Rattus norvegicus: one gene and its partners. The protein of the gene in region 1 interacts with the protein of each later gene in a biochemical or structural test. Links are inferred from orthologs where the notes say so. Each region holds a gene or a part of one and is shown in the gene's direction. Other genes may lie near its edges.

Evidence for each region.
Region 2: the proteins of Erbin (region 1) and Kcna4 interact in a test that uses a peptide from one of them, tested with the Homo sapiens proteins (3 studies listed by BioGRID and IntAct, with this or other methods). The link is inferred for Rattus norvegicus from reciprocal best matches to the Homo sapiens genes ERBIN and KCNA4.
Region 3: the proteins of Erbin (region 1) and Scn4a interact in a test that uses a peptide from one of them, tested with the Homo sapiens proteins (2 studies listed by BioGRID and IntAct). The link is inferred for Rattus norvegicus from reciprocal best matches to the Homo sapiens genes ERBIN and SCN4A.
Region 4: the proteins of Erbin (region 1) and Smad2 form a complex in vitro, tested with the Homo sapiens proteins (2 studies listed by BioGRID). The link is inferred for Rattus norvegicus from reciprocal best matches to the Homo sapiens genes ERBIN and SMAD2.
Region 5: the proteins of Erbin (region 1) and Arhgef7 interact in a test that uses a peptide from one of them, tested with the Homo sapiens proteins (2 studies listed by BioGRID and IntAct). The link is inferred for Rattus norvegicus from reciprocal best matches to the Homo sapiens genes ERBIN and ARHGEF7.
Region 6: the proteins of Erbin (region 1) and Abcc4 interact in a test that uses a peptide from one of them, tested with the Homo sapiens proteins (2 studies listed by BioGRID and IntAct). The link is inferred for Rattus norvegicus from reciprocal best matches to the Homo sapiens genes ERBIN and ABCC4.
Region 7: the proteins of Erbin (region 1) and Mapk12 interact in a test that uses a peptide from one of them, tested with the Homo sapiens proteins (2 studies listed by BioGRID and IntAct). The link is inferred for Rattus norvegicus from reciprocal best matches to the Homo sapiens genes ERBIN and MAPK12.

The regions. Positions count from the first base shown.
Region 1 is NC_086020.1:36,759,354-36,763,651, reverse strand, and holds the start of Erbin (Erbb2 interacting protein), read left to right. Parts: upstream 1-1,498; 5' UTR 1,499-2,267; exon of another isoform or gene 2,268-2,817; intron 2,818-4,298. UniProt on the Homo sapiens protein: Acts as an adapter for the receptor ERBB2, in epithelia. By binding the unphosphorylated 'Tyr-1248' of receptor ERBB2, it may contribute to stabilize this unphosphorylated state.
Region 2 is NC_086021.1:114,213,897-114,218,135, forward strand, and holds the start of Kcna4 (potassium voltage-gated channel subfamily A member 4), read left to right. Parts: upstream 1-1,439; 5' UTR 1,440-1,516; coding exon 1,517-3,481; 3' UTR 3,482-4,239. UniProt on the Homo sapiens protein: Voltage-gated potassium channel that mediates transmembrane potassium transport in excitable membranes. Forms tetrameric potassium-selective channels through which potassium ions pass in accordance with their electrochemical gradient.
Region 3 is NC_086028.1:91,754,825-91,758,324, reverse strand, and holds part of Scn4a (sodium channel protein type 4 subunit alpha), read left to right. Parts: intron 1-238; coding exon 239-374; intron 375-738; coding exon 739-893; intron 894-2,405; coding exon 2,406-2,579; intron 2,580-3,019; coding exon 3,020-3,142; intron 3,143-3,500. UniProt on the Homo sapiens protein: Pore-forming subunit of Nav1.4, a voltage-gated sodium (Nav) channel that directly mediates the depolarizing phase of action potentials in excitable membranes.
Region 4 is NC_086036.1:72,184,344-72,187,740, forward strand, and holds the end of Smad2 (mothers against decapentaplegic homolog 2), read left to right. Parts: intron 1-1,788; coding exon 1,789-1,912; 3' UTR 1,913-2,897; downstream 2,898-3,397. UniProt on the Homo sapiens protein: Receptor-regulated SMAD (R-SMAD) that is an intracellular signal transducer and transcriptional modulator activated by TGF-beta (transforming growth factor) and activin type 1 receptor kinases.
Region 5 is NC_086034.1:84,481,960-84,486,062, reverse strand, and holds the start of Arhgef7 (rho guanine nucleotide exchange factor 7), read left to right. Parts: upstream 1-1,303; 5' UTR 1,304-1,664; coding exon 1,665-2,033; intron 2,034-2,152; exon of another isoform or gene 2,153-4,103. UniProt on the Homo sapiens protein: Acts as a RAC1 guanine nucleotide exchange factor (GEF) and can induce membrane ruffling. Functions in cell migration, attachment and cell spreading. Promotes targeting of RAC1 to focal adhesions. May function as a positive regulator of apoptosis.
Region 6 is NC_086033.1:101,948,913-101,952,412, reverse strand, and holds part of Abcc4 (ATP-binding cassette subfamily C member 4), read left to right. Parts: intron 1-2,356; coding exon 2,357-2,464; 3' UTR 2,465-3,500. UniProt on the Homo sapiens protein: ATP-dependent transporter of the ATP-binding cassette (ABC) family that actively extrudes physiological compounds and xenobiotics from cells.
Region 7 is NC_086025.1:122,089,808-122,093,307, reverse strand, and holds part of Mapk12 (mitogen-activated protein kinase 12), read left to right. Parts: intron 1-282; coding exon 283-341; intron 342-2,632; coding exon 2,633-2,744; intron 2,745-2,857; coding exon 2,858-2,887; intron 2,888-3,147; coding exon 3,148-3,195; intron 3,196-3,500. UniProt on the Homo sapiens protein: Serine/threonine kinase which acts as an essential component of the MAP kinase signal transduction pathway.

The DNA.
Region 1 (4,298 bases):
TGAAGATGGTGTAAGACTTTCTCATGTCCGATGAAACGGTCTGTACAAATACATTGTTTTGTTCTTTTTTTAAAAATACACACTGGTTAAGATCCCTGTCAGTGTAAGTTAGATTCCCAAATTGAAATTACTAGATCTGCCATTCCCAGGGCTGTTGTCAAATGTTTTCAGAGGCCTGATACCACTGTCCTCTGTGCTAAGAATCTTATGTTCGTGTTAATACTAGCAGTTTTGGGGGTAGCTAAAATGCTTCCACTTCGATTCAAAATGACTTGAATATCTTTGGAGTTATTCCAAGTATTCGTCTCTGGCGTAGAACTCACTTTAGTAAATAATTCTTTGGTGGACTTCGTGAACTCATTCCCTTGGATGCAAGCCAAAACTCATCTGTAAGGCATATAGCTTTTTATTCAAAGTTGGTGATGAATAATTATCTCTGGGCTACAGACGGAAGTACTGAACCAGTGGCTTGAAGGACCCAGAGGCTAATTACCATCCCTGTGCATAGTTAATACAGAAGAGTGGGGGTGGACGATGGTTTGCCCAGAATCTATTCCATTCCCTCGGGTAAAACAAGGATGTTCTGTCTGCTAACATACTTAAAGCAGTAACTGTAAAAACGGCAATGTTATGGTTGAAGCTTTCTAAGCCATATGTGTTGACAGAATGCTTAAGTCTCTCTCTGCAATAAACGCAAACCCTGCCAGGCAGAACTACCAGGGCCAGCGCGACTGAACGACTGCACGCCCGAAAGCGTAGGGGCTGGAAGGCTGCGCAGCGCTCGGAGTGCATCCAATGTTTCCTCTAACAAAGGCACCGTCTTGAGGCAATTTCGCGGGCCCCGCTCCCCTTCCCAGCACCAGCTTTGTCTCCTCGGAGGGGCCCCAGGCGCGTCGCCGCTTCCAGCAAGCTCGGAGGCCGGCCCGGCGTGGAAAGAAGCTGCACGGAGCCGCGGCCGTGGTTTCCTGCAACCTGAGCGTGCCATTAGAGGATGTCGGAGTGCTGCGGCTGAAAGAGATACCTGCTGCCTGGAAATCGGGGCTGCACTTGAACAACCTCTTTGCACCAATTACGATCGTACAAAGAAACTCGATCGGCCGGGGCGGCGGAGGCCTCGCGGGGTCGTACGGGGGAGCTCGGCGGGCCCGGCCTCGGGGGGCGGGCCTCCCGTCGCGCGCCTCCCAGCCAGCCCGCGGCCCCCGGCCCGCGCCCCCCGCCGCCGACGTCGGGCGCGTAGACCCCGTGCGCGCTGACTGGCTCGCGCCGGCCTTCGCCCGGCTGTGGGCGGTTGGGGCGCCCCCGCGGGAGGCCGCCCCGCCCCCGCCGCCGCCGCCGCCCCCGCCGCCGCCGCCGCCGCCGCCGCGCGCAGCCTCGGCCCCCTAGCCGCCGGGGCGGTGGCGCTGTTGCCGCCGCGGCCTGTGAGGCAGAAACTCCCTCCACCCCGGTCCGGCCCGGGTCCGCCTCCTCCTTTCTCTCCTCCGCCTCGCCTCCCCTCTCCGTCTCCCGCTCGAGTGAAGGTGGCGCGGCGGCGCGCGACGCAGCCTCGGCCCCTGGCGCGGGCCCGCGAGCTCCTGAGGAGACCGCGCCACCGCGGCTGCGGGGAAGGAGAACCGGGGAGAGCGCAGGGACTGCGGCGGGGAGACTGGAGGGTTAGAGCGGGAGTGGCAGAGACCGGGCCGGCCGGTCGGACTGCCCGACCGACGGTCGCCTTCCAGCCTGCGCGGCCGGTCGGCTCCGGCTCGGGGCGGCGGGGGCCGGACGGGCGCAGGGTGCGGCCGGCGCACTCGAGACAATACCCGCGCGGCGCGGCTGTGGGGGCGGAGGCCTAGTGCGGCCCAGGCCAGCGGAGCTCCGCGTCCTCGCCCCCGTGGGCCGCGCAAGGTCCCGCGGCTCGGGGCGGGCGCCGTCCCCTCCCCCTCGGCGGCGCGCCGCCCCGGGGTTCCGGGTTCCCGGGCACCGAGCTGGATCCTGCTTTTCACCCAGGCAGGAAGTGAGTTTCGCACGGCAATTCCGGGCGGTGTCACGAGTGAAAAGTTTTTTCCTTCGGCGGAGAACCTAGACGAGGCTGGGAAACTCCTGACAGAAGTCGCAAGCAGGAAGCCAGCCCGCACCCCAGCCCCCACCGAAGCAGCCGCGCTGCTGCGGGCGGCAGCTCCACATCCGCCTAGTCCTCGCGGGAGCCTCGGCGGGGCCCGGAGCCACTGAGGAAGGGCAGGAAACCATGTCAAGCCGAGCCTCGGGACGGCTGCCCTGAGACACCCGGAGAGGTAATTTTTTTTTTACGGGAAGCGTCCAGCCAAGTTCGTGGGCCGGAAGCGACGGTACTTTAGTCTACCTCGCTCTGCCCGAGTTGTCTGACTTCTTTCTCCCTGGTCGGAATGCCTTGTCGTTTTAGCAACTGAATAGTAAAACTGATTTACCCCCTTGCCCCGTCTACCGTCTGGATTCCTTTCTTTTTAAGATGGGGTTGTAAGAATGTGGTGGGACGAAAAGTTTTTCAGCCGTCGGAAGAAAGAGTTCCTTTGTTGAGCATAAGGGCCAGAAGTTTTAGTGTTCCGGGACGTATACAATGTATATCAAGTTGCTGAGTCTGGCAACTTTTGTTTCGGAAGAAAGTTAAGTCTCGCTGCGGGGAGAGACTGATTCGCTCTCACTGAGATGGCTGCCACATTTGTTTATGTTGGTGTGGATTGTTTTGGTTTTCGCGTTAATCCTACATGGAGGTCGTTTTAAGGCACGTCTTTTTCTTTGGACTTAAGAAACTGCCTGCCTGCCATTCTCGATTGCTTTTTCTGGACGGCCAAGGAACTACTTGTAGTAAGTCATGCCTTCTTTTCAGTCCGTAGCTTACAGTGCTTGTTTGGTTACCTGATTGAGGACGAGCAGCTGCTAAATTTTTCTTGAAACTGGCGTTCTAGGAAGCAGAATGTCGTAAAGAGTATGGATAGAGACGGAGAAGGATATGGCTACCAAACCAAAACAAAACCCAAACACCTGCAAGAAGTTGATTAGTCAGGACTTGTATGCCGTTCCGATTAGGAACAACATTGGAAGGGAAGAGAAATAAAATCCTTAAGATTTTCAGGAGAGTCACATTGTGCGAAAAAGTGGCGCTGTTTTGCAGATGTATGGTCCTCATATTTTTTCGTGTTGGCCCATCTGGTTTTGTTTGGTTCTGCCTAATAAGTGATAGGTACAGACTGTGCGGGCAGGAATTCGTGAAGCATGGCAGACATTCCACCAGTCAGACTTAGGAACGCTTCTGAACCAATGAAACCTTCTTTATGGGTAAAACTAGTTTTGGTTGCAGTCTACCCTACTGTCTTTTCCCTTAGTAGTGCTTCAATTGTGTGCCTTTGTAAGTGTAGTTTGTTTGCTTCCCCTCTTCCCCCCAAGTGCTTTTGTGGTAAGGGAAGTGACAGATAATACTGTGTTTTAAATAAATATTAACTATAGGTAGATGTAGCTTAAGCTTAAATTGATGTTTAATCAGATATTACCAAAATAATTACCAGAAACTTGAGGGGAAAGAGTTGACTTCCTTTAGTTGAAAGAGGAAAGATAGGTTTTATAGATCAGGATCAAGTGAGTTCACAACTTGTTCTTGGCTATTTGGCTTTTATTAAGTACATTTCAAAAAGAGAATTGTTTCCAGTATTTATGTTGTTGTGTTATTAGGGCCTGGTCTCTGGAGTTTTTGTTTTCATTTTTATTTTATTGGTGAGATTTGTGAACCATCAAGTTATTCCTGTTAAAAGTCAGACTGCTTTATGAAGGAGTTTAAAGTGCATAACTGGTGAACTTTATGATTTGGGGACATATAATTAGGCAGCGAAAGAGGTTATTCTTGAGCACATGAAAGAGGGGAACAAAATAAATGACATTGAACTTCGCTTTCCTTTTATGGCTTCTACTTGGCTTCAGCCTCAGAGCCTTAATAGAGCAAGTCTTTTAGAGAATGAACACTTTGCAAAGATGTTTTTGTGTCATTCTGTTTTGTATAAAGTATCATGTCACTTGAAAATGCCTACTTAACACACCCACCCTTTAAAGAAGTAGGTTATTTTTGAAAGAGTAGTATGTTTAGCTTTTTGACATGTTGAAAATGTGAGGTTCCACCTTTGTGAACCTTTGATTCCCCCTTTTTCCTCAACAAGGCATTTATTTTGCAGTTAAAGTTGGGTAAATTTAGCATCAAATTAGCTTAGTGAGTTTTAGGTTTTATACTATTTTCAAGTCAAATATTTTTTGGAGTCTTGTTTAAAATGCAGCAACGGTCTGAAAAGAGATTTCTTATT
Region 2 (4,239 bases), on another chromosome or scaffold:
TCCCCTATGTCAGACAGCAGCAAAGAATGTGGATTTTGGGAGTGGGTAGACAGATGACAGCCTAGTTTAATGCTGTATTATTCATAACTGCCTTATTTGTTGCCATTCATTGTGTACATTGACAGTGTGCTCTAGCATCCATGATCTCCATTGATCCTTTCCCAATGTGGGGTAAAGGGGATGGGTTATACTGTCTACATTTTATAGATTAGGTAATTGATATCCATTTAAGTAGTGGAGTTTAAACTGAAGAAAGCTGTTTTTTCCCTCACTTCTTTAATCCCAAGAAAAAGAAAAATGTAAGGGTACTTAATTCAGCAGCATTTCACGACTGAAATTTAAAGAGAATCCCTTGAGATCAATGAATACTGGAAACAGCTGTAAAGTCAGAGCATTGCTGTTGTGGAAGGAGGAGGAAGCTATTAAGAATTAGGAGCTGGCATTGGTGAAGGGGCAGAGGAAAGCGAGAATCGTGTGGGCTGAGAACGGACAGGATCGAAACAAATGAGTTGCCACAAAATTGACTGATCGGAAGCAATGGCCGAAGAAGACAGGTGGATGTTGAGTGGGAAAGATTTTAGAGCAGCCCGCCCTGTACTCTTGAAAAGTTATGCTCTCCTGGTGTGTGTTTCATGATTTGCCTGAGGACAAGAGAAGTGTATTCGGAGTAAAGGGCTGTTTGCTCTCTATGGTTTGATTCTTTTTTATTTTTCTCCTTTGCTTATCTCCCATCCCTTTTCAGGTGAAGTGCTCCTTCTGAATGATTCTAGCCAAAGGAGGCTCTTCACTTCCTGCTTTCTATGGATACCTCAGTGTTGAGTTTGCCCCTGCTGGAACCCCATCTACCACCTTCTCTACCTTTCAAGGTCTTTATCTACAACCTGCCATTGTCTGTGGTTCCGTGAAGGCTTTGATGACCTTAGAGGGAAGGTCTGGGAGACCATCCTCATAGACTGAGCAGCAATGGCTGGGCATATTTTAAGCCACATTTTAACATGGGTCAAGCTATCACTAGAAGGCAAGTGCTAAGACTAAAGACTTATTTGCATTTTATTTAAATTAGATGGACTTGGCTTTGGACAATTTCCATACAAGAAAAAAAAATATTTCATTTTCTAGGCACAACTTCTGACTGTCAGATTCTTGCTGCCTTTGAGTCTTGTAGCGTCATCATCAGACCGCATCCCAGACAGACTTCCAGATTTGAACACCTACCCCCCAAAACGTAGGTGTTTGGGAGACCACATCACTTCATGACTTATGTTTGAGGAGCACTAGGCTGTTGTCTAGACTAAGCAAGCTCTGGAAAGCAATGCTGAGTCTCTGAGAAGAGGGAGCATGGGGTGTGCTGATTTAAAAACAGAAAATGCAAAGTTGGACTGAAAATATCCCAAGTCTTCTAAGCAATCTGCTTAAGGCTTCCAAACTTACCTTAATTTGGTAAGAAAATAAGCTGCCCTATTTTTCTTTCTTCTTCTCTTACAACTGGAACCAGCCATTTCCCCAAACTACCACCATGGAGGTGGCAATGGTGAGTGCCGAGAGCTCAGGGTGCAACAGCCACATGCCTTATGGTTATGCTGCCCAGGCCAGGGCTCGAGAGAGGGAGAGACTTGCTCACTCCAGGGCAGCTGCAGCTGCTGCTGTTGCAGCTGCCACGGCTGCGGTGGAAGGCACTGGAGGTTCTGGTGGAGGCCCCCACCATCATCATCAGACACGTGGGGCCTACTCCTCCCATGATCCTCAAGGAAGCCGAGGTAGTCGGAGGAGGAGGCGACAGCGAACTGAGAAGAAGAAACTCCACCACAGGCAGAGCAGTTTTCCTCATTGCTCAGACCTGATGCCCAGTGGCTCTGAAGAGAAGATCCTTAGGGAGCTGAGCGAGGAGGAGGAAGACGAGGAGGAGGAAGAGGAGGAGGAAGAGGAGGGAAGGTTTTACTATAGTGAAGAGGACCATGGGGATGGGTGTTCCTACACTGACCTACTGCCACAGGATGATGGGGGTGGCGGCGGCTACAGTTCAGTCCGCTACAGTGACTGTTGTGAACGCGTGGTAATAAATGTGTCTGGTCTACGCTTCGAAACCCAAATGAAAACTTTGGCTCAGTTTCCAGAAACTCTGTTGGGAGACCCTGAGAAGAGGACTCAGTACTTCGACCCTTTGCGCAATGAGTATTTTTTTGATAGGAACCGTCCCAGCTTTGATGCCATTTTGTATTATTACCAGTCAGGAGGCCGCCTGAAGAGGCCAGTCAATGTCCCCTTTGATATCTTCACTGAGGAGGTGAAGTTCTATCAGTTGGGAGAGGAAGCCCTGCTCAAGTTCCGTGAGGATGAGGGCTTTGTGAGAGAAGAGGAGGACAGGGCTCTGCCAGAAAATGAATTTAAAAAACAGATTTGGCTTCTCTTTGAATATCCCGAGAGTTCCAGCCCTGCCAGGGGCATAGCCATCGTATCTGTCCTGGTCATCTTAATCTCTATTGTCATATTTTGCCTGGAAACCTTGCCTGAGTTCAGGGATGATAGGGACCTCATCATGGCCCTCAGCGCAGGTGGACACAGCAGATTATTGAATGACACCTCGGCACCCCACCTGGAGAACTCAGGGCACACAATATTCAATGACCCTTTCTTCATTGTGGAGACAGTATGTATCGTGTGGTTTTCCTTTGAGTTTGTGGTTCGATGCTTTGCTTGTCCCAGTCAAGCACTCTTCTTCAAAAACATCATGAACATCATTGATATCGTCTCCATTTTGCCTTACTTCATCACTCTGGGCACCGATCTGGCCCAGCAGCAGGGGGGTGGCAACGGCCAGCAGCAGCAGGCTATGTCCTTTGCCATCCTCAGGATCATCCGTCTGGTCCGAGTGTTCCGGATCTTCAAGCTCTCCAGACACTCCAAGGGCCTGCAGATCCTGGGCCACACCCTAAGAGCCAGCATGCGTGAACTGGGCCTTCTTATCTTTTTCCTCTTCATCGGGGTCATCCTCTTTTCCAGCGCTGTGTATTTTGCAGAGGCAGATGAACCTACCACCCATTTCCAAAGCATTCCAGATGCGTTTTGGTGGGCTGTGGTAACCATGACAACTGTGGGCTACGGGGACATGAAGCCCATCACAGTGGGAGGAAAGATTGTGGGGTCCCTGTGTGCCATTGCGGGTGTCTTAACCATTGCTTTGCCCGTGCCGGTGATTGTGTCTAACTTTAACTATTTCTACCACAGAGAGACTGAAAACGAAGAACAGACCCAGCTGACCCAAAACGCAGTCAGTTGCCCATACCTACCTTCTAATTTGCTCAAGAAATTTCGGAGCTCTACTTCTTCTTCCCTGGGGGACAAGTCAGAGTATCTAGAGATGGAAGAAGGGGTCAAGGAGTCTTTATGTGGAAAGGAAGAGAAGTGTCAGGGAAAGGGGGATGACAGCGAGACAGATAAAAACAACTGTTCTAATGCAAAGGCTGTGGAGACTGATGTGTGAATCTCTTTCCCCACCTGCCGCTGCCGCCCGCCCAGCTCCGAATATATTCATACATAAAGAATGCAGTTATGAAAATGAGATATGCACTGCATACAGTAATACACTGCTTAATGGCGATACATGGCATAATTGTGGCGAAACGTGTATTGCATATCAAATAAGTGATGCATCTTGGAGAAGAGGGAGGCATTAAAAACAGCAGATCTATCTTTATATTTTTTAATAGAATGCAAGAATTTTGCACATAATGGGAAAATGTTAATAGTAAAGGTGGTCCCGAGGAGAGTGAGTGTGTGTGAGAGAGTGAGAGAGTGTGTGGCCATGGGAGTGTAAGTAAATTGTCAACATTGTTGGGAATTGTGCCGTGATGGGAAAAGTTGGCATTCTGAAGTATTTACTATGTAAGAACTAATGAACTTGAGCAGTCTTTTACCAGTGTTTTAATAACATCTCCTATGTCTTTGGATTCTGTAGTTGTTTTCTAGAAATTGTAAGAATTACTGTGTAGAAAAAAGAGAAAGTAAATTATTTAATAGAATATAGGTCACAATTTAATCTTGGATTTAATTAAAGTTTATTTTTAACTGGAAATTAACTTTTGAAAAGGCTGCAGGGGCCTTTAGAAATTGATTATATTTTGTTATTAATTTTGGGGAGATATACTAGCAAATGCCTAATGTTCTGGAGGAAATGTAACAAGTTTTGTTCACAGGTCTTAAGACTGGAATTTTTTTTTCTTTTGCACTACTTTCTATGCT
Region 3 (3,500 bases), on another chromosome or scaffold:
TAAGTGCCATGGAGGGCAGAGCTGAGGGCATTTTTGTCACTAGGGTGCTTTTGCCAGGGCACAGTGGTGGTTTTGTAAGGGCTGAATGAATGAATGAACGAATGAATGAATTAATTAATTAATGAGCGAATGAAGGAGTAGATCCTGCTCTGCTCTCTTCTTTCTCTCTGGTCTCCCATACTACCCCACCTATTGGGAGAGTGGGACCCAGGAGTCACCTGCCCTGTGGTTCCCACAGAAGCCCCTACAGCCCCTCTACGACGGGAACTCCTCCGTCTGCAGCACAGCTGACTACAAGCCCCCTGAAGAGGACCCCGAGGAGCAGGCTGAGGAGAACCCCGAGGGGGAGCAGCCTGAGGAATGCTTCACGGAAGGTGAGATCACACCTACAGACCAGCCCCACACCCAGGTCAGAGGCCAGCAACAGAAACAGTTCTGCTCACTTTGACGGGGGAACCCACACCTGAACCAGAGAGTCATTTGCCAAAGAGCCTAAGCTTGTCGAGATGGTGGCCCGTGGGAATAGCTGACGTCCCGAGCTTGCTTGGGAAGCACTTTTTCTCAGTCTCAACAGCAGTGACATACGGGCTGTGGAGAGCCCCTGAGCTCCTGTGTGAACTAGATGCAGCCACTTGTGGGGAGGAGGTGGGGCCCCAGTCTTGGGTAGCATGGCAGAGGGTGGGGAGGTGTGTTCTGACACAGCCAAAGGCCAGTGACATGTACCACCCTGCCTCCCAGCCTGTGTGAAGCGCTGCCCCTGCCTCTATGTGGACATCTCCCAGGGCCGTGGGAAAATGTGGTGGACACTGCGCAGGGCCTGTTTCAAGATTGTTGAGCACAACTGGTTTGAGACCTTCATTGTCTTCATGATCTTGCTCAGCAGTGGAGCCCTGGTAGGCACCCTCCCCCAGGGGACAGGGCGGGAGCAGGAGTAGGTGCCTTGCTCCCTAAGGCTTCCATACCAAGGATGGAGACAGACCGGACATGTCCAAACCCAGGGGATCTGAAGGGGAGGGGACGCATCTGTGTGTGTGTGTGCGTGTGTGTGTGTCTCTGTCTCTGTGTGTGTGTGTCTGTCTGTCTCTGTCTCTGTCTCTGTGTGTGTCTGTCTGTCTCTGTCTCTGTCTCTGTGTGTGTCTGTCTGCCTGTCTCTCTGTGTGTGTGTGTGTCTGTCTGCCTGTGTGTGTGTGTGTGTGTGTGTGTGGTGTGTGTGTCTGTCTGTCTGTCTCTGTCTCTGTGTGTGTGTGTCTGTCTGTCTGTGTGTGTGTGTGTGCGTGTGTGTGTGCGCGTGCGTGTGTGTGCGCGCGTGCGTGTGTGTGTGTGTGGTGTGTGTGTCTGTGTGTGTGTGTGTGCGTGTGTGTGTGTCTGTCTGCCTGTCTCTGTCTCTGTGTGTGTCTGTGTGTGTGTGTGTGTCTGTCTGTCTGTCTCTGTCTCTGTCTCTGTGTGTGTGTCTGTCTGCCTGTCTCTGTCTCTGTGTGTGTGTCTGTCTGTCTGTGTGTGTGCGTGTGTGCGTGTGTGCGTGTGTGCGCGCGTGTGTGTGTGTGGTGTGTGTGTGTGCGCGCGTGTGTGTGTCTGTCTGTCTCTGTCTCTGTCTCTGTGTGTGTGTGTCTGTCTGCCTGTCTCTGTCTCTGTGTGTGTGTGTCTGTCTGTCTGTGTGTGTGTGTTTGCGTGTGTGTGCGCGCGCGCGCGTGTGTGTGTGTGTGTGTGTGGTGTGTGTGTGTCTGTCTGCATGTCTCTGTCTCTGTGTGTGTCTGTCTGTCTGTGTGCGTGTGTGTGTGTGTGTGTGTGTGCGTGTGTGTGTGTGTGCGCACGCACGCATGAGAGTGTGTTGTGGATGGTAGGCGTCTTTCTCAATTGTTCTCCATCTTTTGCATTGAGACAGGGTTTCTCACTGAACCTGGAGCTTGCTGTTTGGGTTGTTTGAGGGGATTTCCTGTCTCTGTCTACTGTAAGCCTGGCATTGCAGGCAGGCCGCTGCTGCCACCTGGCTTTGACATAGGTTCTGGGAGCCCAAACTTCCAGCTCTCGCATTTGCAGGACAGATAAGGCACCTCCCCAGCCCAGCATTCATTTTCTTAAAGTAAAAGACGGGGCCCTTTGTTTCGTGGACCCTGTCCCCTCAGCCAACGGGAGGTGGGTGGGAATTTGAAGTTAAGGGTGGACAGGACTGAAGACACATTATATTGTCGACCCCCGGAAGATAGTCGAGAACGAAGACTCCTTCCCTACCAGGAGTCTCGCCCCTCCTGGTGATGGGGATGGAGATGGAAGATACGCAGAGGCCCTACAACCTACGACCCCTGAAAGACCCCTGGGAACCAGCCACAGCAGGCAGGATGGGGAGCAGCGCTTGCTGCCCCATCTGCCGAGCCCCTGGCCATCGTGGTTTGTGCTGGTGTCCCCAGGCCTTCGAAGACATCTACATTGAACAGCGACGAGTCATCCGCACCATCCTGGAATACGCCGACAAGGTCTTCACCTACATCTTCATCCTGGAGATGTTGCTAAAGTGGGTCGCCTACGGCTTCAAGGTGTATTTCACCAATGCCTGGTGCTGGCTCGACTTCCTCATCGTGGACGTGAGTCCCCCGGGTCCGGCCACGGAGCCGGGACGTCATGGCCTTTAGAGAACCCAGGCTCTGGGGGGTTTGGGGGGGCCTATCTGAATCTATCCATCAGACCATCCAGGTCAGCACTGCTCCCTGTAGACCAGCCTCTTCTTTCCCAAGCATGACAGTTCAGGCCTGGGTCTTATGATCCCTGCCAGTGCAAGATTCTTATTGATAGACACATGGAAGCATGGGAGATGGGTACCGTCCTTCTCATTTATGGTTGTAGGTGACATCATTGAGGTGAGCCCTGGCTCTAAGGGTGCCAGAGGCCACAAGCCTTCTCTTCCCAACAGACAAGATTATCTATCAGGGATGGGGTCTACAGGAGACACAGAAACTGGGACACCCTTCTCATATGTAGAAAAAAGTCAGGGACCCTCCACCTCCTGAACGCACACTTCTTCCAGGTCTCCATCATCAGCCTGGTGGCAAACTGGCTGGGCTACTCTGAGCTGGGGCCCATCAAATCCCTGCGCACACTCCGGGCCCTGCGACCTCTGAGGGCACTGTCTCGATTTGAGGGTATGAGGGTGAGTACTAGAGAGGAGGATGTTAAGGAAGGCTCGGGATATGGGAACAGCCACCCACAGGCAGGGTTACAAGGTGCATGAAAATACTTCAGCCAACCAAGGGCAGAGGGATCAAAGTGTTGATGCCTGGAGTTTAGGGGCTGTGACCCATCTCCAGGTAGCCCCATTCCTACGCCAGGTTCTAGTAGACTCTAAACTTAACTCTGCCACCACTGGAGGGCGGCAGAGGCTGCTGCGGTGGCCTGAAGGCTTGATTTGAGGCAAGATGAGGAAGATCTACCTGTGGGTTTATGGAGGTCCCCAACACAGTCTGAGGGCCCCAGTGTCCTGTAACGTGGGCAAGTGATTAAGTATTTCT
Region 4 (3,397 bases), on another chromosome or scaffold:
TGTGGTCTCGCTTCTCCTTACCCCAGTCTGCTGAGTGTACGGGATCTCCAGCCTGCTACACATGCAAGCATGGCAGAAACCCTCATGCAGGTGCCTGTGCTTGGAAGTTGCCTAGAGCATCCCGAAGACCCAGGGGTTACTTGAGTTGATACCACGGGATAAAAAGCACTACATACATGCTTGGACACTAAGCTCCCCTGCAGTGCTTTTTTTTTTTTTTTCTTATTTTTTTTTTCTTTTCTTTTTATCGGAGCTGGGGACCGAACCCAGGGCCTTGCGCTTGCTAGGCAAGAGCTCTACCACTGAGCCAAATCCCCAACCCCTCCTGCAGTGCTTTTAATTATGTGTGTATCATCGTGTGTGTGTGTGTGTGTGTGTGTCTGTGTCTGTGTCTGTGTGTCTGTGCGTGTGTGTCTGTGCGTGTGTGTCTGTGCGTGTGTGTCTGTGCGTGTGTGTCTGTGCGTGTGTGTCTGTGCGTGTGTGAATGGCATTGCCTGTGAAATCCAGAAAGGGTTGTAGCTGTCTGGAGCTGGAGTTGCAGGTGTTTATAGTTGCCAGATGTGGGTCCCGGTCACTAACCTGGGTCTAACAGAGCATCGCATACTCTCCTGCTGAGCCTTCAGCCCTATGGCTGTCCAGTCCTCAATGCTGTCAGGCATGGATTGTTTAAAGATGGAGACCTGATAATGTTCTTCGACCATGATTGAAGAATGTCATGTTGAAGAAGCAAAAGTAAATGTATTGATAACTCTTTGTAGCAAATAAGATTCAGGGAGTAGGCAGTGCCCCCTTTGTTAAAGCCTAGATGGTTTTAATTTCACTTTTTAAAGTAGAAGCCTGAGGGGTGTTACTGACAAGGATGTTGCTTGTTGTGAGTCTTAGAGAAACTTTAGCTTCAAATCTTAACATTGTGTGGTAAGGATTTAGATTGGGTCAGCAGACTTTAAAATTGAACCTTGTTCTGGTGTAGGTTTCATTGATAACATAAAAGTAGGGGGTCATATGTGTCATTTTCCTTGGGGCAATCTTTCCTGGTTTTTGTCTCTCGTCCCGGCCTCATTATTAAGTACCTTCCTCTCACAGGCGTCCCATTTGAGGTGGCAGGTAAATAGCAGTGTCAGTAGACTCATTTAACTTCAGGAGAAAGGATAGTTTGTAAATCTTTCAAAAAGGTGGACTTCTGGGGAGATAGCTTGGTTGGTAAATCTCAAAAGTTGGCCACTACAAGGACTTGAGTATGAAGCTCCAGCATCCACAAGACCCGGACACAGCTGTGTCTAACATCTGCATGGGGTGGGATGGGGTGGCTGGGACTGAGGACCTGAGGCTGGGGGACAGATGGACTCTGGGAGCTTGCTGGCCAGGCAGTCTAGCCAGAATAGGGAGCTTCGGGTTCAGTGAGTGACCCTGACTCAAGGAAACAAAGTGAAGTTGAGGAAAACATCCGACTCCCTTCTGGCCTCTGCGTGCACCTAGAAACATACATATGTACCACACATAAAGAAATAAAATTCTTAGGGGCTGGGGATTTAGCTCAGTGGTAGAGCGCTTACCTAGGAAGCGCAAGGCCCTGGGTTCGGTCCCCAGCTCCGAAAAAAAAGAACCAAAAAAAAAAAAAAAAAAAAAAAGAAAATTCTTGAAAAAGGAAAAACTCATTAGTTCATTTTAGCAGTAAAAATTAACCATTTTAAAATTAATAACTATATATAAAACTAATAATTATTCTAAAAAAATATTTTATTATATATAGCCTTTTAATTTTCTAACTTTTTGTGTTCTTTCAAACAGGAGGCAGACAGTAACAAGTACTCCTTGCTGGATTGAACTTCATCTGAATGGCCCCCTGCAGTGGTTGGACAAAGTATTAACTCAGATGGGATCCCCGTCAGTGCGATGCTCAAGCATGTCCTAAAGTCCGTCAGCAGTGGAGCTCATTGGAAGACTTAACGTACCAACTCCTCCGCCACAGTACTCGTGTGTGATCCCGTGGACTGTGCTAGTCAAAACCCAGAGCGAAAACAGCACTTGAGGTCTCATCAGTTAAAGCACCTTGTGGAGTCTGTTTCCTACATTTGAATTTTAGATGGGAAATTAGTGTCTAGAAATGCCCTCCCCAGAGGGGACAAAGAAGACTTAAAGACTTAATGATGTCTCGTTGGGCATAAGACAGTGTCCCAAAGGTTATTAATACCAGTAGTAGTTGTGTACAGTAATGTGTCCAGACCCAGTATTGCAGTGCTCTGCTGTTTGTATACCTTCTTAGTGTGCATAAATGAGGTGTGTGCTGCTGCTTGGTCTAGGCAAGCCTTTATAAAATTACAGTACCTAATCTGTTATTCCCACTTCTCCGTTATTTTTGTGTCTTTTTTAATATATAATATATATATCGAGATTTTCAAATTATCATTTAGAAGCAGATTTTCCTTGTAGAAACTAATTTTTCTGCCTTTTACCAAAAATAAACTCGTGGGGGAAGAAAAGTGGATTAACTTGGAAGTCCTTGACCTTAATGTGTCCAGTGGGTCTTAGCATTCTTTCTGTGATCATTTTCTGCTGAATTGCATTAGAAGGAAACCTTGTTGGAAACTTCCAGGCTCTTTGTGCCATTTCTGTTCTGATTCAAAGCAGTGCAGCATGATGTCATTGTGGTAAATAGTTGCACTGATGGCTTCTGGGTTAGTTACTTCTGAGTCCAGTAAAGGATTGTGTGAGCAGTAAGTCCTTTTGTCTTCTAACCAGACTTCAGCAGATGATAACCAGTTGTTCCATTGATTAACTTTTGTCTCAAACGTGCACAGGTGACAGTATAATTATTTTCAGGGCTATTCTAGAATCATCTCAGTATGTTTCCTTCTTCCAACGCCAGTCTGATAATAAAGTATCTTTCTGTAAAGGCAGTCAGCTTTTGGCGTCATCTCACTTTACTACAGGTTGTCACAGAAGAGACCTTTGTTAGCTGATGCTGAAGTGTCATCAGCAGATAGGGCCATCTGTTCCTAAAGTGTATCGTCTGTAATTTATAATAAATAGAATGTTATATTGCCTAGTTTCAAAATTTTAAATATTGTGAGCTAAGCCGTTCAGCAAGATTTCTAGCCCGCAGTTAGCAGTGGACTTCACTCTTCTTGACTAATCCTGGGTGTGTGGTTTACTGACCTTTCTGCTCTGCAAAAAGGTGATCCCAGCTGTCCTGTTGGCCCTTTGCTCTGCAGCACACAGCAGTCACGTCCAGTGCTGATTCCTTTGTTTGCAACTCCGTACAAATGGAAAATACTTCCCAATCTCCTCTTTGTAAACTTTCATGTTTTTGCAGACAAATAACTTTGGTACTTACTCTCTGTGACCATACTCTCATGTATGTACAGTAATCATTTTTGATGCTTTTCAACATTTGGTT
Region 5 (4,103 bases), on another chromosome or scaffold:
AGGCTATATCATTTAGCAGCATAGGGGCTTTTTACCAAAATGAGTGGGTGTAGTCAGTGGTCCACTCTGACCATTGGCTCCCAGCTTCCTGTCTGTTAAGTCGGCTTCGACCTGGCTTCCTTAGGGCCACTTGACGGTCAATATACGGAGCTATCTTTTGTACTGCATGTTAAGGCCCTACCTCGTTTAACAGGATTTAAAATTGGTAACGAGTTAATTTTCTTTTTTCTTTTTTTTAAAGACTTATTTATTTTATTTATATGTTAGTACACTGTAGTTCTCTTTAGACACTTCAGAAGAGAGCATCCTATTACAGATGGTTGTGAGCCACCATGTGGTTGCTGGGAATTGAACTCAGGACCTCTGGGAGAGCAGTCAGTGCTCTTAACCGCTGAGCCATCTCTCCAGCCCGAGAGCTAATTTTCAAATTCAGCACTAAGGAATGTTTCTTCGGGGTTGATCAGCTCTGGTTGACAGACTCAGGGTTGTTGTCTGTGTCATATGTAACGAGGAAAATGGACAAAAAGTGAGGCTTGGGTCTGTCGGTGGTAAAGACACCGAAATGACAACAGTGTTTGGTTAGGGCTGGCCAGCACTCCACTGAAGGCCGCTGCCATCACAGAGAAGCTGGCCCTCAACAAACATCACACCATTTTAATGCTTTGTTTGGGTCTGGAACAGAAACATAGTCACTTAGCCAGAAGATGCTATTAGGTGCAATCGATGGTGGTGATGGATGCACCTGGGAAAATACAGAGGAGAGGGTCGAACCTGCGATCCTTTTCTGACAGCATCGCCTGGCTTCTAGCCTTGTGAAGTTACAGGGTGAGTGCCTGGCTCAAGGGGAAAGGTCTCCTGGGACATTGCAAGCTCTATTTTAAACTATGGAGGAGTGCCAGCCAGCAGGGAAAGCATAGGGCCATGGGCTGGAGTAAATGGGAATCCATATCATATCGTTTGACGGTGAGCTCCCACCTACCCCCAGGCTCCTGTCACATCCTTTGCGCTGGAAGAGGATGCCCAAGTTCCGGGCCTAAGCGTGGCCAGCACGCTCTCCAGCAGACGCTGCTCCCCCTTTCCACGCACACCCACCCGAGGTTGCGGTGTGCTCTTGATCGCTGGACACGTCACCGTCAATTTCACGAGGAATCATGAAAGGCTTTTGGCTACCGAGGTCGCCCGCGTCCCCCGTCCCCGCTCCTCCCCGTACCCCCATCCCCACCCCCACCCCACCCCCACCCCGCCGTCAGTGGCCTTGCACCCAGCGGCGCAGCACCGCGTCCGCGTCCCCGACGCTCGCTCCTGCCAGAGTGAGACCCATCTGGTCACAGATCTAACGAGCATGTGCGTGCCATCCCCGCCGGCTGGCGAGGTGGCGAAGAGACGCCCGCGCCCCGCAGTCGGCGGGCAAGCTCAAGAGAGCATTCTGGGAAGCGCTTACTAATCGCGCGCCGCCCTACCCACAAAGGCGCGCAGCCCCGGGGCGCGCGGGCGGCGCAGGTGAGCGGGGGGCGCGCCAGCTGTCGTGCGCCCGGGCTGGCGCGGGGTGCGCGCGGGCGGCCGCCGCGTCTTTCTTCTCCGGTGATGTCATCGGGCGACGGCGGCCGCGGCCGGGGGGCGGCGGCGGGGGCGGTGCCGGGCGCCCGCAGGTTCCTGCGCCGCTAATGAAAAGGCACTTGACAGCGGGCCAGGGCGCGCGCGAGCCCGCGGAGCCGAGCGGGACCTGCTGGGCCGGCCGGGCCAATCGCCGGCGCGCGGCCGCCCATGGGCGCGGAGGCGGCGGGGGCGCGGGTGGCCGCGGCCCGGGCCGCTCCGAGGTGATCGCGCGCGGCGCCCCCTCTGTGCGCGCAGCCCGAGCCGCCGCAGCGATGAATTCTGCCGAGCAGACCGTTACGTGGCTCATCACCCTGGGCGTGCTGGAGTCGCCCAAGAAAACCATTTCGGACCCGGAGGTCTTCTTGCAGGCGTCGCTCAAGGACGGGGTGGTCCTATGCCGGCTGCTGGAGCGCTTGCTGCCCGGGACCATCGAGAAAGTAAGTGGCCATGGCGCGGTCTTCGGGTGGGTCCCCGGCCCGGGCGGGCGGCGGGCGGCGGGGCGCGCGGGAGCACCTGGCGCGCGCCGGCTCGGGGCCCGCGCGCCCTCCTTTGTGCGCGGACCCGGCGGCGCGCCAGGCGCGGGGACCGGCGGCGGGAGTTCGGGGCGCCATTGTGTGCGGGGATCCGGGAAGGGGACCCGCCCTGTGAGCACAGACAGCAGAGGGGGCCGCGGTGACGCTCGGGGCCGGCTCGGGGTCACGAGAAGGAGAGTTGGCTGTGCGGGCGGCGGTAGGGTTCTGCTCCACCCTAATGTGAAGTTGGGAGGTCGGCTTCGCCCCTCGCCAACACCGATCAGAAAACCTCATCTCTGTGCCGCGAAGCTTTCTGCGATGGCTTTGTTTGAACGGTTTTCGTCGCTGGCTTTGCAGTCTCACCCTTGCGTTGAATGGACCGGTGGCTGGGCATGTTTAAAGGATGCATCAAAAGCCAAGCGAGGGCCGAGCTATTAAATGACTTACCGCTTTCCCTATCAAGGGGATTCCTCACTCATTCAAGCCTGCAGAACAGCGCACACAGGGTATTAAAGCCCGGACTTTTTGGGGGATGGATCGGAATTTTCATCTTCAGTGCCTGCTATGTTTGGAGCAGTCTACTTGCTGCTGCAGGCTGGTGGCTCCCTGGCGCTGCAGTGTGAACCTTGACCGCAGCTCTGGGTGACCAAAGTTTGTTTTCATCTGCAAGCTCACAGAGCAGGCAGGGTCAGGGGTTGGGAGCGCTTCTAAGAACAGCCAGCTTTTATAGGTCAAAGTAAAAAAAAATACTAAAGTCCCGTGTCCAAGATTATGCCAATACACAGTTTACAAGAAAACTTGAGATCCTTAGTAACTTAAAAGATGTTGAATACAGAAATGGAAGTTCCCCATAATTAGGAAGAAGTAGCATTCCTTAATGGAGCGCGCGTGCGCGCACACACACACACACACACACGCACACACACGCACGCACGCGCACGCACGCACACATGCATATACACACACGCACACACATGCACACACACGCACAGACACACACACATATATGCACACGCACACACATGCACACGCACACACACGCATGCATGCACACACGCACACACGCATGCGCGCACGCACACACACAGACACACATGCACACGCCCAGGCCCTAGGCAGGACAATTTGTTAGTGTGTATTAAGTGACCTGAAAAAGCAGACATCGTAATTTTATTCATAAATTGGCATGCTGCAGTGTCAGTCAGAAAACATTTAACATGAGTTCTGCATGGGTACCACAGGTTTTAGGTATTTTCCTGAACATTATTATGAAAAGGACATGCATCTAAGAAGGACTAACTGATGTGGGAAAAGCTGTTTATCAATGAGGCAGATCACTGAGTTAAGATGGGAAGACTGAAGAGCAAGGGTCTGACTTTCCAGGCACCGAGAAAACCCGGCTGCTGTCATCTGGCTGTTGGTGCCCCTTGATAATAAAAGACAGATGTCTGAGTGAGATACATGCTAAGGTTCTCCAAAACAGGCTTAAAGAAAGCCCTGCTCCGTTTCCGAGGTGAAGCTGTAACAAGATTCCTGGGCCATGTCAACAGACATGTCCCCGTCACTCCGCACCGCACTTGCCGTGTTTGCAGCATTAATATGGTCGGGCAAACTTCAAGATTCATATTCTGTTTTAAATTCTAGGAAGGTTTCCTAAGGAAGCTGTAGTGGCTCTTTCATTTCTGACGAGAGAGAGAGACAGAGAGAGACAGAGAGACAGAGAGAGACAGAGAGAGAGACAGAGAGAGACAGAGAGAGACAGAGAGACAGAGAGACACAGAGAGACACAGAGAGAGACACAGAGACAGAGAGAGACAGAGACAGAGAGAAAGACAGAGAGAGACAGAGAGACAGAGAGAGACAGAGACACAGAGACAGAGACAGAGAGAAAGACAGAGAGAGACAGAGAGAGACAGACAGAGACAGACAGAGACAGATAGAGAGACACAGAGACAGAGACAGAGAGAGACACAGAGAGAAACACAGAGACAGAGA
Region 6 (3,500 bases), on another chromosome or scaffold:
AGTTACCAGCCAGCAGGTACCCCAAGCCCCAGGCATCTCAGCCTGCCATCCTGCCTCCTAGACTACCATATTAACCCCACTATCAGTGTCTCAACCGCAGGCCTGGGAGTCCGCAAAGATCCTGTCAGGAGGCCCACCTAAGAGAGTGGAAGCCGCAACTGTCCTCACGTTTCCGATCTGTAGCCTTGCTTTCCACACACTGAGGAGCTGTTCCTCTGAGCAACTGTCAGTAACACACCCAGCACTTGGCCCAGCATGTTTTCAGCCTGCAGTTTGTAGCCATTAATTAGTTCCTATGAGGTAAGTCTTTGTTATCTGGTCTTTACAGATGAGGCAGACAGTGTGGAAGGAGGCTAAGTAGACGTTGCAGCATCAGCTGGGTGTTGAAGAGAGAGACGGAGACTGGTCCCTTTTAGCCTAGGCTCAGCCTGCGGCTTGATGGCCCAGTAGAGAATGTTAGCCATCTTTCGGCTTGATCTCATGTAGATGCTGTGAGACTGGGAATCTACAACTGGTAGAGTGTCTTGCCCGGAATGCATTAACCACTGGGTTCACTCCCCAGCACCCCTGTTTTTAACAGACACTCCAATGGTGGTACATGACTATAATCCCAATATTTGGAGGTGGGCGCAGGTATTGGGAGTTCAAGGTCATTCCCAGGTCTAAGATAAATTCAAGGCCAGCCTGAGACCCTTGAAACCCTGTCTCCCCCAACTTAAAAAAATGTTAAATTAAATTTAAAAGAAGATGCCCAGTCTCAATCATGCCTTTATCAGAATGTGTTATAAACATGGTAGGAAAAAATTCAAGTCAGGGCTTTTATACACCTGAAATGGTTCTCGGCAAAGCATCCCTGACGGGAAAACCAAGACCATTTTAGTTGACATGTATGGGCGTCTTGCCTGTGTGTATGTGTATGCGCCGTGTGCACGCGGTGCCCACGGAATCCAGGAGAGGGCGTCAGGTCCTCTGGAGCTGGACTTAAGAGTGTAGGTGGAGATGACATTGACATTCGAGTACACAGACACACCAAAAAGAACAAGTTCATCCTGTGTTCGAAAGCGCGCGCTCATGGCGGTCGTCTCAGACTGTTCCATAGGACCTTTCTTCTTCAGTGACATTTCTCTCGTAAAAGGAATCTTCCGTGCTGTGGTATTTAGGGAGAAGTTTGCCAGCAACCCAAGGGAGGTATACTTACTAAGGAAGTAGACATCCGTGACCTTGTTACCTGGGAAGCCCATCATTCCCACCGACAACTTTGTTGACAGCGCCCATGTATATAAACCCACAGCCTGGGGCGGGGGGAGGAGCATGAGGGGGAGACCCAACTCGTGCGTGACTTGTGTCAGCTCAGAGAGATGCTACGTTTTCTGTTTTAAAGACTCTAACAAAACTTTTCACATTCTTCTCCGAAGGGGGGGAAAAATTGCATTTGAAGGCCTTTTTCACGCAAACACATTTAGAGATAAGAGCTCACAAGTCCTGACATTATTTCATTTTGTAATACGCATCTGTCAGGGAACCCAGATATGATACAGCCGCTAAAAACTGACGATTGGGGAACAGAGAAGCCTGACAGCATTTCATGTCCTTTATGTTCTGATTACACGTTTATCAGAGAGCCTGTATCTCTGCTATTGGAATTGGCAGAATTCAGGAATTCAAAGGCCTGGCAAAGAGCCGTCCTATTATTTGGTGTCATCTTCTATTTGAGAGAAGTCGCCTGGCTGGGTCATTGTTACAGCATTTGCTTCTCTTTTCATTGCGGCCCCGCTATCCACAGATCGCGGTTCTGTAGGCCCTACGACGGCCTTGCTGCACAAATTAAGTGCCGGGATATTTCACGCGTAGACGCCAGAGTTTCAATGCTTGTCAATCAGAGTTTGTAATATATAGGGATTACAAGCTGATATTAGCATCCAGGTCTATTGTGTTCATTTTATGCGCGAAAATGGGAAACTTCAGTACAGGCGCCTGGCCTCTTTGTGTGACACCCCACACACACACCTACCCCCACCTCCCGTTTTTTAATTTATCTCTGAGTATTTGAGTCAGTGAAATGATTTTGCTTATCGGTTTAATGGCGTGATAAAAACGTATCTGTGAATCAAAGTGATCAGAGCTAAAGTGGATCTCCAAGTCATTGGGCATTCAGCCCTGCCGCGCTGAGGGTTTTTCTCCGCCGTTTCACGGGATGTGTGCTTGCCTGGACTTCTAATTGCGCCTCAATGGGTGTAGTGATTACCTCATCGAACGCTATGATTAATTTGCTGGATGGAGACAGACAAGCATTGCCTCCGAGAGGAAGGCTTGAAAATGTACTCATGTCCTTTTTTCGCCTGCCTCTTTTCCACAGGTGTACTTCAGACGGAATTATCCGGATATTGCATTCAGCAGCCCTGCGGTTATGAGCACCTCCAACGGACAGCCCTCCGCCTTAACGATATTTGAAACAGCATTGTGACTACTACCAGGACGTCAAGTCTGTTTCCAGGGTGTCCCCTGCCCCAACAAGGGGCTCGCACTTCTTAGACTACAGCACTCCTGGTTTTCATTCTGCAACAGATCCTTCACAGACAAGAGACCGGCGTCTTTGGACTTTCCCCTTCGACCTTATCCTGTGACTTCAGGTCCTAACAACATGGCCTGTTGTTTTATTTAAATGTTCCTACTGTTCTTTACAAATCCAGTTCTGAGGTGCAGGCCACTGACAACAGCTGCCTACCAGGTTTTGTGCCTTAACAGACTCTAGGGCCAAAGCCCGTGCGTTTTATAAGCTGTCACAGTGGGTTGTTTCTTCCTCTTGCCTTAAAAGTACACTCTCCGGGTGCGTCAGGGACTCTGTTTACTTGAAGACGGTGTGCAGATGCCAGTTTGTTTCCCTGCTTTCTCTGACTTAGCTAGGACCCGTTACTTCTCCCACAAAGGCCTCTGGTTAAAACAGAACAGATAAAATTAACAGGAACCACAACAACAAACCAAAAAAAAAAAAAAAAAATCCATATAATTTAAGTAACATTGCTGGAGAGAGACTATCCCACCACCCACACGCATACAAAGACGCACGTCTGAAGTATGTTGAAGCATTCATGTTGGAAAGTCAACTTCTGCTTTCTCAGAATGGGAGGCCTGGCACTTCTTAGGTGCCCCTCCCCTCCATCTGTGCGAGCCCCTCTGGACTGCCCATGCACTGATACACTGGTCGTCGTGACACTTCCCCCAGACAGTGGCTCTCAAATGCATAATATCAATCTCATTTTGGCTCCTGGTTTACAGGAGGCAGACCTCCTATTGGCTGTAAGCCTTTCGTGAAATCCTTTCAGATTGACTCCAGAAGCTAGTGAAAGCCTGAAAATCGTTACAGTCATCCCATTGTACGCCCTCAGGATGCTGTGTGGAAGCTTCACTTTCTAGAACCCATGCAGATTAGTTATCTTTGACCACTAATGGCAGGCCTAGAGGACCTTCTGATTAGTCAGTCAACAAACCACAACACTTCC
Region 7 (3,500 bases), on another chromosome or scaffold:
ACAGAAGACTAAAGGAGCTGGATTGCTCAGAGGCCTGGAGCCAACCCAGACCTGAGACTGCCCCTCCCTCCCCCAGAGAATCCCGGCTGTCAGCATCCAAAAATAGCCTGTGTCTGTGGGCAAATGTACCAGGATGGGGGCTGAGCCGACAGTGGGGACAGTGGAAGAGACAAGGATAGTTATGGGAGGGTTTTCTGCCTGGAGTACAGTGCCACCCTGGGGGTGCCCTGAGGCCTCGCAGCTCCTGTGTGCTTTCTATCCTGTCTGCCACTTGTTCCGCAGGTCATTGGGCTGCTGGATGTGTTCACTCCCGATGAGACTCTGGATGACTTCACAGACTTGTAAGTGCTAGTGGCTGGGTGGGGGGCAGGAACCTGGGTGGCTTCTAAGTGTCAGCTTAAGGTTCTGGGCCAGGTTGAGGGCCTTCGTCCCAGAGCCCAGTGGTTCTCAACCTTCCTAATGCTGCGTCCCTCATGTCCTGGTGACCCCCAACCATGAGATTGTTTTGTTGATACTTCATAACTTTTGCTACTGATATGAATTGTCGTGTAGGATGTCCGATATGGGACCCCCAAAGGGGTCATAGCCCATGTGAGGGATAGGGTGCACACTGCTCACCCACTCCTCTTACCACAGTCTACTCCATATTCCTATATGCTCCTGGGAGCCATGAACTTGTGTGAGTGATAATACCATTTTCCCTTGTCTATCCCTCCGTTCACCTGAACATCCCTGTGACCTAGATACCTTGCGGCTCCAACCCCTGCCCCCGATTCCTGGTCACCCTATGTGTGGTAGGAGGGGCCTAGGCAGCTTCTGGGTACTGGCTTCAGGTTCTACGTTGGCTTGAGGTCTTCTTCCTTCCCATGGCGAGGGCTTCTCAAGTGAGGGCTGAGGTGCGTAGAGCTCGTTCACTTCTCGCCACAACCCTATGGACTATTGGTACCCCTAGATACTGGCACACCCTGGTAAAACCAAACTGTCTCCTTCCAAGCCTGACACTTGGGCCCTCACAGTACCTGACTAAGTAATCTGAGGTGCCAGCATCAGGTGCAGCCCTAGCTGCTCACCCTGCTGCGTACGATGCCCCCCCCCCCCACGTCAGGAATTTTACAACCCTGAGGGGGAGTGTGGCAGTGCACACATTCGCAGCCCCAGCATTTGAGAGATAGAGCTGGGAGGGTCAGCATTCCAAGGCCATTTTGGCCTGCATGTGGTCCCGTCTCCAAAAACAAAAGCAAGGGCTGGAGAAATGGTTAAGAGCACTGACTAGGGGTTAGGGATTTAGCTCAGTGGTGGAGTGCTTGCCTAGCAAGTGCAAGGCCCTGGGTTCAGTCCCCAGCTCCGGAAAAAAGAAAAAAGAAAAAGAAAAAAGAAAAAAAGAGGGCTGGAGAGATGGCTCAGCGGTTAAGAGCACTAACTGTTCTTCCAGAGGTCCTGAGTTCAATTCCCAGCTATCACATGGTGGCTCACAACCATCTGTAATGAGATCCGATGTCCTCTTCTGGTGTGTCTGAAGACAGCCACAGTGTACTTATAGGGGTTGGGGATTTAGCTCAGAGGTAGAGCGCTTGCCTAGCAAGCACAAGGCCCTGGGTTCGGTCCCCAGCTCTGAAAAAAAGAAAAGAAAAAAAAAAAAGAAAAAGAAAAAGAGCACTGACTGCTGGGACTGGAGAACTGGCTCAGCGGTTAAGAGCACTGACTGCTCTTCCAGAGGTCCTGAGTTCAATTCCCAGCGACCACATGGTGGCTCACAACCATCTGTAATGGGGTCTGGTGCCCTCTTCTGGTGTGTCTGAAGACAGCTTATATATAATACATATATGTATATATATATGTATATATACACACATATATACTTATATATGTATATATATACTTATATATGTATATATACATATATACTTATATATAATAAATAAATAAGTAAATAAATCTTTAAAAAAATAAAAAGACAAGGTTGGGTGTAGAGGTGCAAGTCTTTAATTCCAACACTTAGAAGGCAGAGGTAGAGAGAGGTAGCTCTCTGTGAGTTTGAGGCCATTCTGGTCTATACAGTGAGTTTCAGACCAGACAGGACTGCAAAGTGAGACCTTTCCTTAAAGAGCCCGGGCTGGAGAGATGGCTCAGCGGTTAAGAGCACCCGACTACTCTTCCAGAGGTCCTGAGTTCAATTCCCAGCAACCACATGGTGGCTCACAACCATCTGTAAAGAGATTCGATGCCCTCTTCTGGTGTATGTGAAGACAGCTACAGTGTACTCATATATAATAAATGAACATTTGTTAAAAAAAAAAACAAACAAAGAGCCCCCAAGCCCAAACAAAATAGCCCTGACACACAGCCCACTCCCTGCTTGCCATTCTGGAATGAGGGGATGTGGGCATGGGTTGAGAAGATGTAATTGCCAAGGACAAGTGTGATCAGAGGGCGGGTTGGTGCCTAGCATGGCACGGTGGGGGTAGAGACATGGTAGGATGGTATGATCCTCAGTGCTAGGGATGACTGGGTGCTACAGTGAAGTTGCTTTGGTGGCACCTGCCAGGATGGGATCTCGAGAGTTGTGAACTGGGCCCAGCCCGGCCTGGTGGGACTAGCCCTGATCCCTTGGCTGCCTCCCTTGCTTCCACAGCTACCTGGTGATGCCATTCATGGGCACTGACCTGGGCAAGCTCATGAAGCACGAGACTCTGAGTGAAGACAGAATCCAGTTTCTTGTGTATCAGATGCTGAAGGGGCTGAAGGTGAGCTTTGCTGAGGTGGCCATAGGGAAGTGGGCAGAACTTCCTGTTGGTCAGGGCAGGTCTCTGTGTCTTGGAGTCAAGCTGATGGCTGCTGAACTCCCTCTTTTCCACAGTATATCCACGCTGCCGGCGTCATCCACAGGGTGAGTTCTGGAGGGACTGGGAGATTGCCCCTGCTCCTCCCAACTGTATAGACAGAAGTGCTCAACCCCAGGGCCCATTGCTTAACTGTAAGGAGCAAGATAGGACTGTGGCGGAAATACCTGTAATCCCCAGTTCTCCCCAGGGACTTAGCCCCTCTGCCCTTCCCCAGAGGGGCCAGGCCAGTTTTGGGGGCTCAAGTAAAGTGTTGCCTGGGCCCTGCTCTGGTAGGTGGGTCATAGTGGCCACTTTCTTCTCTCAGGACTTGAAACCTGGAAACCTGGCTGTGAACGAGGACTGTGAGCTGAAGGTATCACTGGGAGGGGAGAGGACAATGGCGGGGGTTGGGACCCCTTCCACTCTCCTACTGCCCTGCTTGACTTTTGGCCTAGGCAGAGGGACAGAACTCAGACATTTGAGCCTCCATTAGGAGGCTCCTAAAGGTGATTAGGGGATGGTGAAACAGAGGGAAATCTTCAGTATTTCCTCCTGAGGTGGGCAGGGCCAGGGACACCGACCACAGGGAGAATCCTTGGGGCTCAAGACCAAAGGGTGGCACAAAGCTCCAGTGTAGAAACCTCAAGCCCAACTCTCGTACAGTCTTCTGGACCACAT